Linked DNA regions of Oreochromis niloticus. The protein of the gene in region 1 interacts with the protein of each later gene in a biochemical or structural test. Links are inferred from orthologs where the notes say so. Each region holds a gene or a part of one and is shown in the gene's direction. Other genes may lie near its edges. The genes, in order: tnrc6ba, ago1 and ago2.

The links.
Region 2: the proteins of tnrc6ba (region 1) and ago1 form a complex in vitro, tested with the Homo sapiens proteins (2 studies listed by BioGRID and IntAct). The link is inferred for Oreochromis niloticus from reciprocal best matches to the Homo sapiens genes TNRC6B and AGO1.
Region 3: the proteins of tnrc6ba (region 1) and ago2 form a complex in vitro, tested with the Homo sapiens proteins (3 studies listed by BioGRID and IntAct, with this or other methods). The link is inferred for Oreochromis niloticus from reciprocal best matches to the Homo sapiens genes TNRC6B and AGO2.

The regions. Positions count from the first base shown.
Region 1 is NC_031973.2:22,681,969-22,685,723, forward strand, and holds the start of tnrc6ba (trinucleotide repeat-containing gene 6B protein), read left to right. Parts: upstream 1-723; 5' UTR 724-861; intron 862-1,402; exon of another isoform or gene 1,403-1,470; intron 1,471-2,491; 5' UTR 2,492-2,581; intron 2,582-3,208; 5' UTR 3,209-3,230; intron 3,231-3,590; 5' UTR 3,591-3,755. Other genes in the region: uncharacterized protein si:ch211-141o9.10, read right to left, coding at 1-169, 249-396.
Region 2 is NC_031976.2:28,011,560-28,015,314, forward strand, and holds the start of ago1 (protein argonaute-1), read left to right. Parts: upstream 1-1,327; 5' UTR 1,328-1,817; coding exon 1,818-1,842; intron 1,843-3,755.
Region 3 is NC_031985.2:24,714,559-24,718,313, forward strand, and holds the start of ago2 (protein argonaute-2), read left to right. Parts: upstream 1-867; 5' UTR 868-1,778; coding exon 1,779-1,797; intron 1,798-2,974; coding exon 2,975-3,022; intron 3,023-3,755.

The DNA.
Region 1 (3,755 bases):
GGCAAGATATGAGCTGGGTCAAACCCCTGTTGGGAACACAGCTCCTGAAACTTTGCTGCAGCTGTATGGTCCAATGCAGGCCTCTTCCACGATCGCTGGGACCCCAGGAACAGGGCGAAACTGCTGCCACCCATCTCCATACAGGACTCCACGGCTTTCCATATCCCACCTATGGACGTGACGTCACAGAAGTGTGAGTAAGCGTGCTTATCTCAAATGGTGTCAAAGAAGACGACATTAGGCCCTACCTTGAATGCCAACATGAGCTCCAATGTACTTCTTTGTTGCGCGGTTCTTCCTCCTGTCTCCTCTTTCCTCAGTGTCCTCGCCCTCCTTTTCTCCTGCGGAGGCATCCTCGTTTTTCCTTTTCCTCGTTCCCCTTTTTCTCTGACTCATGCTACGAAGAGAAAGTTGAAAGCAGCCCTTACGAAATAAGCAATAAGTTGAATGTTAAGTTTGACTGTCAGAAGTTTATGGAGGTCAAATAGCGTGTTTTATGCATCTCTTCAGGCAGAAGCCAGCCAGTCAGAGGGCTTCCACGCAGCTGCTACAGGCTGGTCATTGGAGACGCTTCATGCTGAGCAGCAAAATGGCCGCCCGTCACCCGACTGACTCCACAGCGCTTTGAATTTAAATTCTTCTGCACATTAGGGTTTACACTATTATAACGGTAGTGCTCACGAACCAGTACGTTATTACGCGTATATTTTCATTTTCTGCCATTTTACTTGATTCTCCGCTCAGGCGTCGCTGTTCTTGTAGCCTCGACGAATGCCTCAAAAAGCTAGAAAAAAATTCGCACTGAAGCACTTTAGCTAAGCTAGCTAGCACGCTAGCGTATCTTCATATGTGATTCCCGAGGTAAGTGGGTGAATTTTTTACATTTCTCGGCTTTGCACTGTGTCGTTGTTTGAATGCATGCGAGCGGGCTGCATCTTACTGAAATGCCATGCCACGGCGCTTGCAAACCAAGCTAGCGCCATTAACCTGGCTACTTGTAGTTGCTGCTGTCACTGGGTAATGCTACCTTAGCTTATCTGGCTAATGTTCGGTAGCATTAGCGCCGTTTTAGCCGTATTTTTGGCACTGCGTTAGCTGAGCTGGGTATTTGGCCCTCTTATGTGTTTGCTGTGCAAGACCGCTGTGTTCACTTGATAGAGCAGTTACTGAACTTAGGTTGGTTTGAACTCGTTAATGCCTGCTATGCTTCGTGTCCACGTATTTTAGGCTGAACCCCTCCTTAACGTTAGCCTCGACGAAATATTTTATTAGCAGCAGCTGTTGAACTTGCAGCTTGTGTAAACCTGAAGGGGCAAGGATGAATGTGTCTGACTATTTCAGCTAAAGCGGATTTATTCACCCGTGTCTTCAGTTTTTGAACACGCCTTTCCATTTAAGCTCAAAGCTCAGACCTTTTTGTGCTGTGGCGTTTGCTGCCTAATGCTGGTGAGCTTGGAATAACGTTGACAGGTATGTCAGCATAAGCTGGTAGAGCTGCTGGATAGGGTTTACTATACTGCAGATCTGACACATCGAAATAACATCGTGATGATGTCTGGCTTTCTGATACTTCAGGCCTGAGATCATAAATGCCTCAGGGACAATGTCAGGTCGCTTTTCCCAAATGTAGTAATCCTGCTTTATGGAAGTGTTAACGACACGAAGCAAAAACGAAACCAACACAAGACCGAGGCAGCCGAAGCATACCAGATTGCTTGGGTTTTGCTTTAAACGAGGAGAAAAGGAGAAAACTGACGACTTGTGTTTTAATGTGCTAACATGAAGCCAGACATGCTAATATTGCGGTTATTGCCATATTGTAATACATACATGATTTACATTTTGCGCATTCGCGGGCGCTTCCCTGGTTCCGCTCTAATAGAAATGAATGACATTTCTATCACCCTATTAAATAAACAGTATAAACCGTTCGTTTCGTTAAAAAATTGTAGAATAGCTCAGCTGTTCCATCTTCAAACTGAAAAATCTAATAATAAAATGTTTAGTTTGTCCCCGACATCCTAGGGATCATAGAGGTGCTATGGGGAATCCTAATGACAATGCATTCTTTGCTGTAGCTGAAATCTCTTAATTCATTTTATTTTATTTTTTAGTTATTTATTTTTTACTTAAAGCCAGTAAAGAGTATGATCCTGGATTTGTAACTGCCAGCACTCTGTCTGAAAAACAAATCTAGATTTCAGACTTTCAGTTTATCTGGTATGGGTTTCTGGATATGTAGGTCCAGTCAATCAAGCTAAACTGATTGGACCTACAGAACCTAAAGGTCAGTTTATCCAGTTGTCCAGTGGAAGTGTAGTGACAGAGATTGTGTCTGATATGCAATCAGAATTAAATGTTTTCCTTTTTTCCCTTGAGGAATAAATTTGGTTTACAGGAAAAAGCTAGAATATATAGAAACAAACTGTTGCTTGTTCTAAAATAGTTGATAGGTAATTACAATTTTGAATAGCCCGCTATTTTTTTACAGAAGAGAGGAGCATCAGGACAGGAGCAGTAGTTCATGGAAGACAAGAAAAGGAAAAAGGACGAAAAAAGGAAAAGGGAAGCCTCTCAGAAGGTGAGTGTGTTTGTCTTACCAGATTCCATGTCCTCTAGGGCAGATATACTCAAATTAAAATGAACGTTTGTATCTTGACACAGTATGCTGGCAGTAAAATTTATGCACATTCACTCATATCATTTAAAATGGCAGTTCTGCATGGATATCTGTATGGTTCTATTAAAGTGACTTCAGTGCTTTCTCTTATCTCAGGTGGACACATTTGAACTGTCATATTAAGGCAGTGGTTTCAACAACATTCAACAACAGCATTTAGTTTGGATTGAGTTTGGAATGATCTTACATTATGCCATTTCAGCTTTTTCAGTATATATACAATCTAACTTTGTTTGACGAGATACCTGATTCATGGTCTTGGGTAATTTGGGCTTCCTGGAGCTATAGTTGCAGTTAACACTGCAGCTGTTGAACTTGTTACAATTAAATCTCTTGTCCTTAGGTCCCTAGATGTTACATTAATTTTGTGTCAACTAAATGTTGACAGATTATGTGAAAAGTGAAAGACTTTCATAATATTAAAAAAACACCAGTTTCCTTTCTTTGCCTGGAAGAAAGGAAAAAGGAAGAAAGCCAAAAACAAAAAAACTAAATTTTAACATGACTTTCTGCTTCTCTTCATTTTAGGTTGCAGAGCAAAAAAACAAAGGTAAGCAGCACAGTGATGTATTTTTATGGAGTTTGATATAAATATTTGTTGTTTGCTCCTTTTTCCAGAGCTAATCTTTAGACACTTTAGTTTTAAATGTTTTTCTTGTCTAAAAGGATTGTGATGGTATCACAGTGACATTATTATTTCTCTTTGTAATGTGTTGGACAACACTTGATGCATTTTTTTTAATTTTTAAAAAAGAGCACATCCATCGATTTCTTTGTTTTATAGTCCAGTTTGCTATCCATTTCTGCCAAATACTTGATTAGAGGTTACATTTGAAGTAAATACATTTTGCGTTCTTAAAATGCACCTGTTTAAACAAATCTTTCTCTCCCCTCCCTACCCTTCTTGCAGTGCCAGACTTGACCAAGCCAGCTTCTGCCCAGTCTTCTGCTACTCAGAGCAGCTCTGCCTCCCCAGCCCTGGACCCACCCCCTCTGCCTCCCCATCCCCAGCCACCTCAGGCCCTGGCAGTGCTGCCACCCCGTCACAGGGCGGCAACAATGCCAAGCGCCTGGC
Region 2 (3,755 bases), on another chromosome or scaffold:
AATTGTTGCACCTATTTCACATTTTCATAGAAAAACATACAAATTGAGCGGTGATTCAAGACTTTCATACAATACTACAGATATAATAATACAGCTACATTATTATATTGATCAAGTTAAAAATAATGTTTTAACTCATTAGTGGAAAAAATATATATTTCAAATGTCAGCCTGTTGAATTTCAACTACCCTAAGTGATTTTCATACGTAACCAACTATGTGTGGGACATGAGAAAAAACATAATGGCAATAAATTAAATAAATATCCACTGTCCCATTTAATTCTTTAAATATTCTCATAAATATATCAACCCTAAAGAATGTTCCAATTGCAAAAATATTGTAAGAATTCAATAGTTCAATTGGAGCTCATTCATTCATTCCTTTATTTCTAGCACCTAAAGTTTATTGGATATGTGCACATTGGTTCTTTTTTCAGTTTCCTGTACAAAATAATCAATGTAGGACTGAAAGAATAAACACTGCATGGTAATTTATTAAAAAATAAAGTATTCTTTCTTGTGCTTTTACTTCTTTTTTTTTCTTTTTTTACAAAGTCAAGCCATGAAAGCATTAAAGACTTAGATATAAATATTGGATTAAAGACTTATATTAAAATATGATTATTAATGACTCAAAAAGCAAATATGTAACAGCAATAAAATGAGTAATTACAGATCAATAAATTAATCATTAAGCCCTTTACTAAAGAAAACATAAACCAAGACAAATGTATAGTTGGCAATACTGATATGCGGCAATTTCTAAAAGAGGAGGAAAAAAGACATGTGAAAGGCTTGGTGGTCACATATCAAGGATGTAGGTTCACATCAATTAAGGTTAAATGCAATATTTCAAGATTGCAAACTGCACAACTGCAATAGCTTTTAATGTGAACATGACAAAGCCAAATGGTCCGCTTTCTGCTTTGGTTGATGCATGTGATGGAAAGGTTTTGAAATTGAGAACTCTTTGACTGTCGATCATCTGTTTCATAAAAGAATGTTAGAATAAATGTGTTTCATAATGTTCTTTAACTTCTTTACACCAGCAGATACATAGGTTATTATGCTCTAGGTTGTTATTAGAGATAATTGTACTGATCTTCCCCCTTTGAGATTAAACTGATCAAACCCCTGATGTAGCACCTTTAAAATGTACTCAGAATATGTTGGTTGTATTTTTAGAGAGAAGTAAGACGTGTGATCATTAGTTTTAAACCTCAGCTTTGAACACACAGTATCAGACACGTGAGACATAATTTGGCTGTATTTGCATATCTGCAGTGTAGTTCCGCCTTCGACCTCTGGGGTGTGACAGCAAGTTCGTCAACACTTCCTTCACACTTTCCAATGGCAAAGAAGAAGTTTCAGATTTTTTGAGGGGGGCGAGGGGCTGGCCTTTTTTGTTCCGCTGGAGAGTCCTGCTTGAACGGTGAGCAGGAGCACAACAGAACGGCAAGAAATTACAGCGCCGCGGACCATCAGCTAAATCAGAGCACCGGGAAGGATCCCGCTGCGCCGCCGAGGAAGAGTGGTTCGAAATAGGACGGCATCGCCCTGCAGCTGCGCCGTTACTGGCTCTAGGGTCAACGGGCAGACGAGCAACTGGCAGCTATCGCCGTTAGCCTTAACTCCTCTGCGGGTCTGGGGGGTTCTGGTAGGGGCAGGGGCGGGGGTACACCGAGAAAGGAGAAGACTGCACGCCGAGAGGAGGGGGCTGGAAGTCTGAGACGCTTCCAGCCTGAAGGGGCCGGCGGTTTGGCCACAGCACCCCCCGGACTAGCTAGCTTGTACCCGCGCGGCTAAGTGAATGGGATGGAGCCGGGACCGTCTGGCGCTGGTAGGTTTATTTTTACTTAAGTGGTTTTAAATGCAACCAATCCGGGTGTATACTGCGGGCCAAACTGCAGCTGATAAAACTAGACACCGTAGCCTGGCCTTAACATCGGGGGGGGATGTACGAGGATGCTTGGTGTCAAGCCTCTCTGTTGCATCGAACGTTTAGAGAAGAGAGGGTGTGAGATGGAGAGGAGCTATCTTGCTGTCTGCATGCACTGCACTCCATAGAAAGCGTTATTATTTGTCCAGATTTATAGCTGCAGATGAGCCTTTTTGGAGTCTGACAATATCCTCAGCCATGCGCGGGGGCAGGGAGGTCGTGGGAATCTTGGTGAGGAGGGACGAGGTGAAGCCCGCCTTCAAGCAGCAGCAGCAGCAGCTGGCTGCACCCGCACGCCCCACAGAACAGACCAGCCTCCCGTTCACTGACAGGTTACGTTTGCTTAAGGTTGTCAAGAGAGAGTTTAGCACAGTGTCCTTAAATGCACACATTAAAGACAACCTCGGGCCTACCATCTGCAGCAATAACTGAATTATTTATCTATGTGAAATAAGAAGGAGGAAAAAAAGGCTTATCTCGTCTTCCTGTTCGAGATGACATAATCTACATTTAGAACTGAGGGAAGCATGTAGAGCATTATATTTATGTGTTGCGGTTTGATTCTGTATCTGCAGACTTATCAGTGCCAGTCAGATCAGAGATGGGCTTCATTTGGCAGTTTTCTTGTTTGACACGGAGGTGTGGAGACCTGCAATTAAAGCACTCACTGGACTTGACTTTATGCCCAGGTCTAAAGTCTGTTTACGGTGGAACTTCTTGAGTGCCCGGCATTAATAATGCAACCACGAATGTCTTAAATATGTCTAATGCATGGCTTTTATAAAGACTTGTATTTTTAATTGATGCAAAATGTTTTGACATGAACTCCGTTAACAATCCCTGAATCCTCTTTGGATATCTTCAGGCTTGTGTTTATGCAAAGCAGGCCTGATGGTAAAATCACGTCATCATTCCAGATCCTGAACCTTGAAATTAGTTGAATAGGCCTGTTTTAATTTCTTAGGATGGGGGGGGGCTTCAGAGGCCCCTTATTTCAACGTCTCCTTTTGTGTTTCAAGTGTGATGATTCAGTTTTCTATTTTGAAAGATTTTTCTGGTTGCCACATTTGGCTCACGGTCAACAGCCAAATACTTGGAGACACACAACTGATTTGGCCAACACAAGTGATGCCTAAATGGATCTTCCTTGCAATTTGTGTACTTGGCTTATAATTTAGCTTATAAGCCAGTAGCTTATATTTTTGGAGGCTAATCGTTCTCTAGTTTTTAACTTTTTTTGTGTGTATTTGTATAGCATCACCAACTACACATCTTTTCCATTACCAGCAAATTTAATGTGGAGTTGTTTAAAAAGTGCACATTGAGGTCTTTTATTTGTTTTATTTGTTGTCCTGCAAAGGAAGCCAAAACAAAACACACAACAACAACAGACGTGTTATCCCAGGTACGACTTTAAAATAGTCGTTCCCATGTGACTTGATCTTATTGCTTATTACGTCATTGTAAAGGATTTAAGTAGCGAGTGTCTTCATGTTGTGATGCAGCGCCAAAGCTCCGCTTTAAGTCTTACCGCCCGGGAAAGACTGCTATTGTGTTGGGATATGTGAGAGGGCTGGCTCCGCTTCTCACCATCTGCCTTCACTGGCACGAGGGCGAAGTGTGTGTCATTGTGTGTGCATGCGCAACAATCAAAACACGGTATAGACACTCATGCATTCACACACGTACATGCTTTCTTGCACATAAAGTACGTACGGGCACCACATGTCTGGTGTCTGTGTTTACAGTGCTTCTCAGATGTGTTTTAGGGACTTGTGATTCTACACTTTGATATTCATATGAACACACACACA
Region 3 (3,755 bases), on another chromosome or scaffold:
TAAACAGCGCCGACAAGAGGACAAAGCGAGGGGCTGCACGTCGTTCACTTTGGCAAACCCACAACAAAACATAAAATAAATTCACTCAAATTTGACACAACCCAGACGCCCAGGGTTAAAAATATACGCATTAGATTAAATTAACGGGGAATTTGAATCACGTGACACTGGTAACAGCGTAATCTGATAAAACAGCCTGCAACTGTTTCAAAGTTTTGGAATAATACATGGGCGTTTCAGCAGGTGCTGCTTACTGGATGCACACATGCGGAAACATTCTGCATGTTTCATAACTCAAATCTGCAATTCATACAATAAATAATTCTACTTTAAACGGGATCAGCTACGCGAAACCAGGCTCACGGTTAAAGAGACGTGTGCTCAATGTACATTATGGCTATATCTGTGTTCCATCTGGCTTTATCCACCCATTCAAATATTCTGTAAACAACCCAGAAAATCAGCCTCTGTATTCGTATATCTGCTTATAGATCTTGTATCGGTTTAACTTCCACTGAAATATGAACAAATAGCTGGAAAATTTGGAATCTGGATGAGCAAATAATAAATAAACAAATAAAAACATTCAATAGAAACAACCTACCTGTGTGTATCTTCTTCAGCTTTTGTTACTATAGACAATAATTCACTTCTTGAACGTGTACATCTAATTTTATTTCATTCATTCCCCTTAATTAAACTTTAAGTAATTTTTAGCATAAGTAAAATTCAACGTATAATATAAAATCACATGGCTTGATAAATCTTCTGTATGTACTGTCGTTATATTATAATGAACTATAACGTTGGAAGTTTTTGTGGATCCATTACTATGCACTAGCTATAGGTATTATAAAAAAAAACTTTGGTACCCCGGAAATGCTTCCTCCGCCGAAGAAACAAACTACTTGGTATATTACTTTGCTTGTTGACATTTTTAAAAACCCACATTCGTGGCCATATACATATATATGTACGTATTTAAACCAGACCTGTATTTTAGCCAGGTTATAAAAAGTCGGGTTGTTTTTTAAGCCAGGTAAGCGATCTCTGGTGTTTTTTTAAAGATTTGAATTAGCATCACTACTGAGACCGCGCAGCGTGCGTCTGACATCACCGAAAAGCAAGATAGTTCCCCACTTCACATCAATCTAAACGTTAATATTTCCCCTTAAGTCGAAATTACCGTATTTGAAATGTTTGCAACCGTGTAAAATGCTAACTTTGGCTAATAAAATACTAAATCTGATAGGAAACGTGATTTGTCTAAATTGTGTTGTATTATGTGTATGTATGTGTTATATAGTATGTGTTATATTTATTTAAAAAAAGAATCACATTTCGTGGACTGATACGGATACTAGCTTTTTGTCTACATTCATGACTACACTGATGGGATGAATACATATGTCTTGTAAAAAAGAAGGGTAATTAAAAAAAGAAGTCCAAATGTAAATATATACACTACCGAAAGTAAAGTGACCAAAGGCGGAAGGAATGGGAAAGAATCATCTTGAAGCGCGTGGTTCTTTACCCTGCGCTCTCTTTTCTCTCGGCTCCCGTTTTGCGTGTTGGGGGGATGGGGCCGAGCCGAGGATGAGAGACTTCAAATATTTACCACTTGGCTAACTAAATATCTCTTTTTAGAACCGAGTTTCCTTCCTTGCACTTGGACATATAAATACACTTCGACTACGGATGAGTTTTGGTGGAATTCTGCGAAAAACTAAGCGGAGTGTTTGTGCGTCCACGACACACGCTTAAAAAAAGTCGACAAAATGTATTCCTCTGCTGGAGGTAAGTGCTGCGGCTAACGTTAGCATGGGCTACGTGATGCGGCCAAAGAAAACTGACGATAACGAAGCGGCATTTTTCTGTGCTGCATCGATGAAGTGCTTGCTCTGTTCCCGTTTCATCCAACTCGTTACAGTAAAACTCAACAACGGCTTTGACGAGGAACATGTCGTCCCAGTTTTAAGTGTATTAGTACTAGAGGCAAGCTTAGCTAGCGTGCAACAACAAGCTGCCGCTAGCCACGCTAGCTTCAACGGCACCTGGTTTCCCGAACTTGTTTTAGTTAACTCACTGCACTTTCACCAAGTGGGGGTTGGCTGGCATATATTTTCTTAACAAATCACACGAACGTAAACGCATATCATTCATTTTTCTCGAACTGAAGCACTAAACACACTAGTTGAAGCAATATTTCGAGGCCGACCTAATCTCATCACCAGTCTGGGATACGATTAGCCTGACAGTTGAAATCGCCACATTTACATATGTCACATTAATACACCAGCGGTATAAACGCGCTAACGCCACCGGATCGTCTTTTCAGTGTAACACCGGGTTTAAGACACTAAATGATACAGGAGAAGTCTGCTTGATTAAGTTTGACGTTAGGTAGAGATAGTTAAGCGACTGAGCCGCCTGTCGTTAGTCAGACAGACGCTGTGTTTGTGTGTGTGTAGATTTGCATATCGTTGTATTTCATGTGTGCGTTTCTGTTTTTTGTCAGCTGGCTTTTTTAGGCTGAATGAAAGAGAGTACAGGCGACATCAGCACTATGTTGGACAATTTTTTTTCCCCCACTTGCAGTTATTTTAACGAGGATGTGTTGTTCAACCAAAACACGACTCGGTGTGTTGAAGCAGTCTATTTCTAGGGGGAAGGGGTGGCTTCATCAGTTAGATTGCCAGCTGCTCAATACTTTCTGCGTGTCTATTGATAAGACTCCTGTGGAAGTGATAAGAAAGGCCTGCTGGGATGAAGCTAATGTAATAAATGAGCAGCGCTCTCTTACTGCTTACTACATAAACAAATGGTTTTGTTATGTTAAGCAGTAATCTTTGGTCTCTGGGCTGTACTATGTTATTAGGTGTACACATTTATTACTCTTTATTTTGAAATACAGTGTGTATCAGACTGAGCGGATCTTTGAGCATTTATAACATGTTATTTTTGTTCTCTGTAGCTGCTGAGATGCTTGAGGGACCCGGTTCTACTGGGTCAGTAAGCTCTGGTAAGCTTTTCCCATATTCGGGCTTTAACACTTTAAATTGACCCTAGTAGTGGTCCAGTGTAAGTGGCAACATTTTTTTTTCTCACACATCCTTCAAGCATCACAGTATGTACTCATCTGAAAAACAACAGGACCTTCTGATAGTGAAACCATCCAGCAAAAAGCATATAGGTATTTTGATCCTGTGAGAGTCTACAGAAGATGCTTTGCTCTTCAACTAGTCAGCACTAGTACACCTCATTTTGTGCACTTATGTGCAAAGCACTTAACTAAAGGGCACTTATTAAAATCCACCATATATTGCTAGGCTTTATCAAAGGTTTTCTGTTTGAATGAACAGCGCTGGAGCTAAAAGATAATGCACTGAAGGGAATGGAGTGTGTCCTGACTGAAATATCTGAAGCTGCAGATATGGCTGAGCTTGTCCAGCAATAATGAGAGCTGTGTGCATCTCCTACAATAAAGTGCAAAAATGTTAACACTTAAAATCATCTTTCAGGTTATAATATAGTGATTTGGTGTAGATTTGGTACATGTGTTGTTGTTGTTGTTGTTAATGTTAATATAAATAATAATGATAATAATAATAATAATTCAACTATTGTACCAAAATAATTACAAATGTGAGATTTAAATAAGTTTTTCTTGTATATTATTATTGGTGTGGCTACATAGTGTAGTGGTTTACTCATTTGAAAAAAACCCTTTGGGGATGGGTCAGGAAGGGTATCCA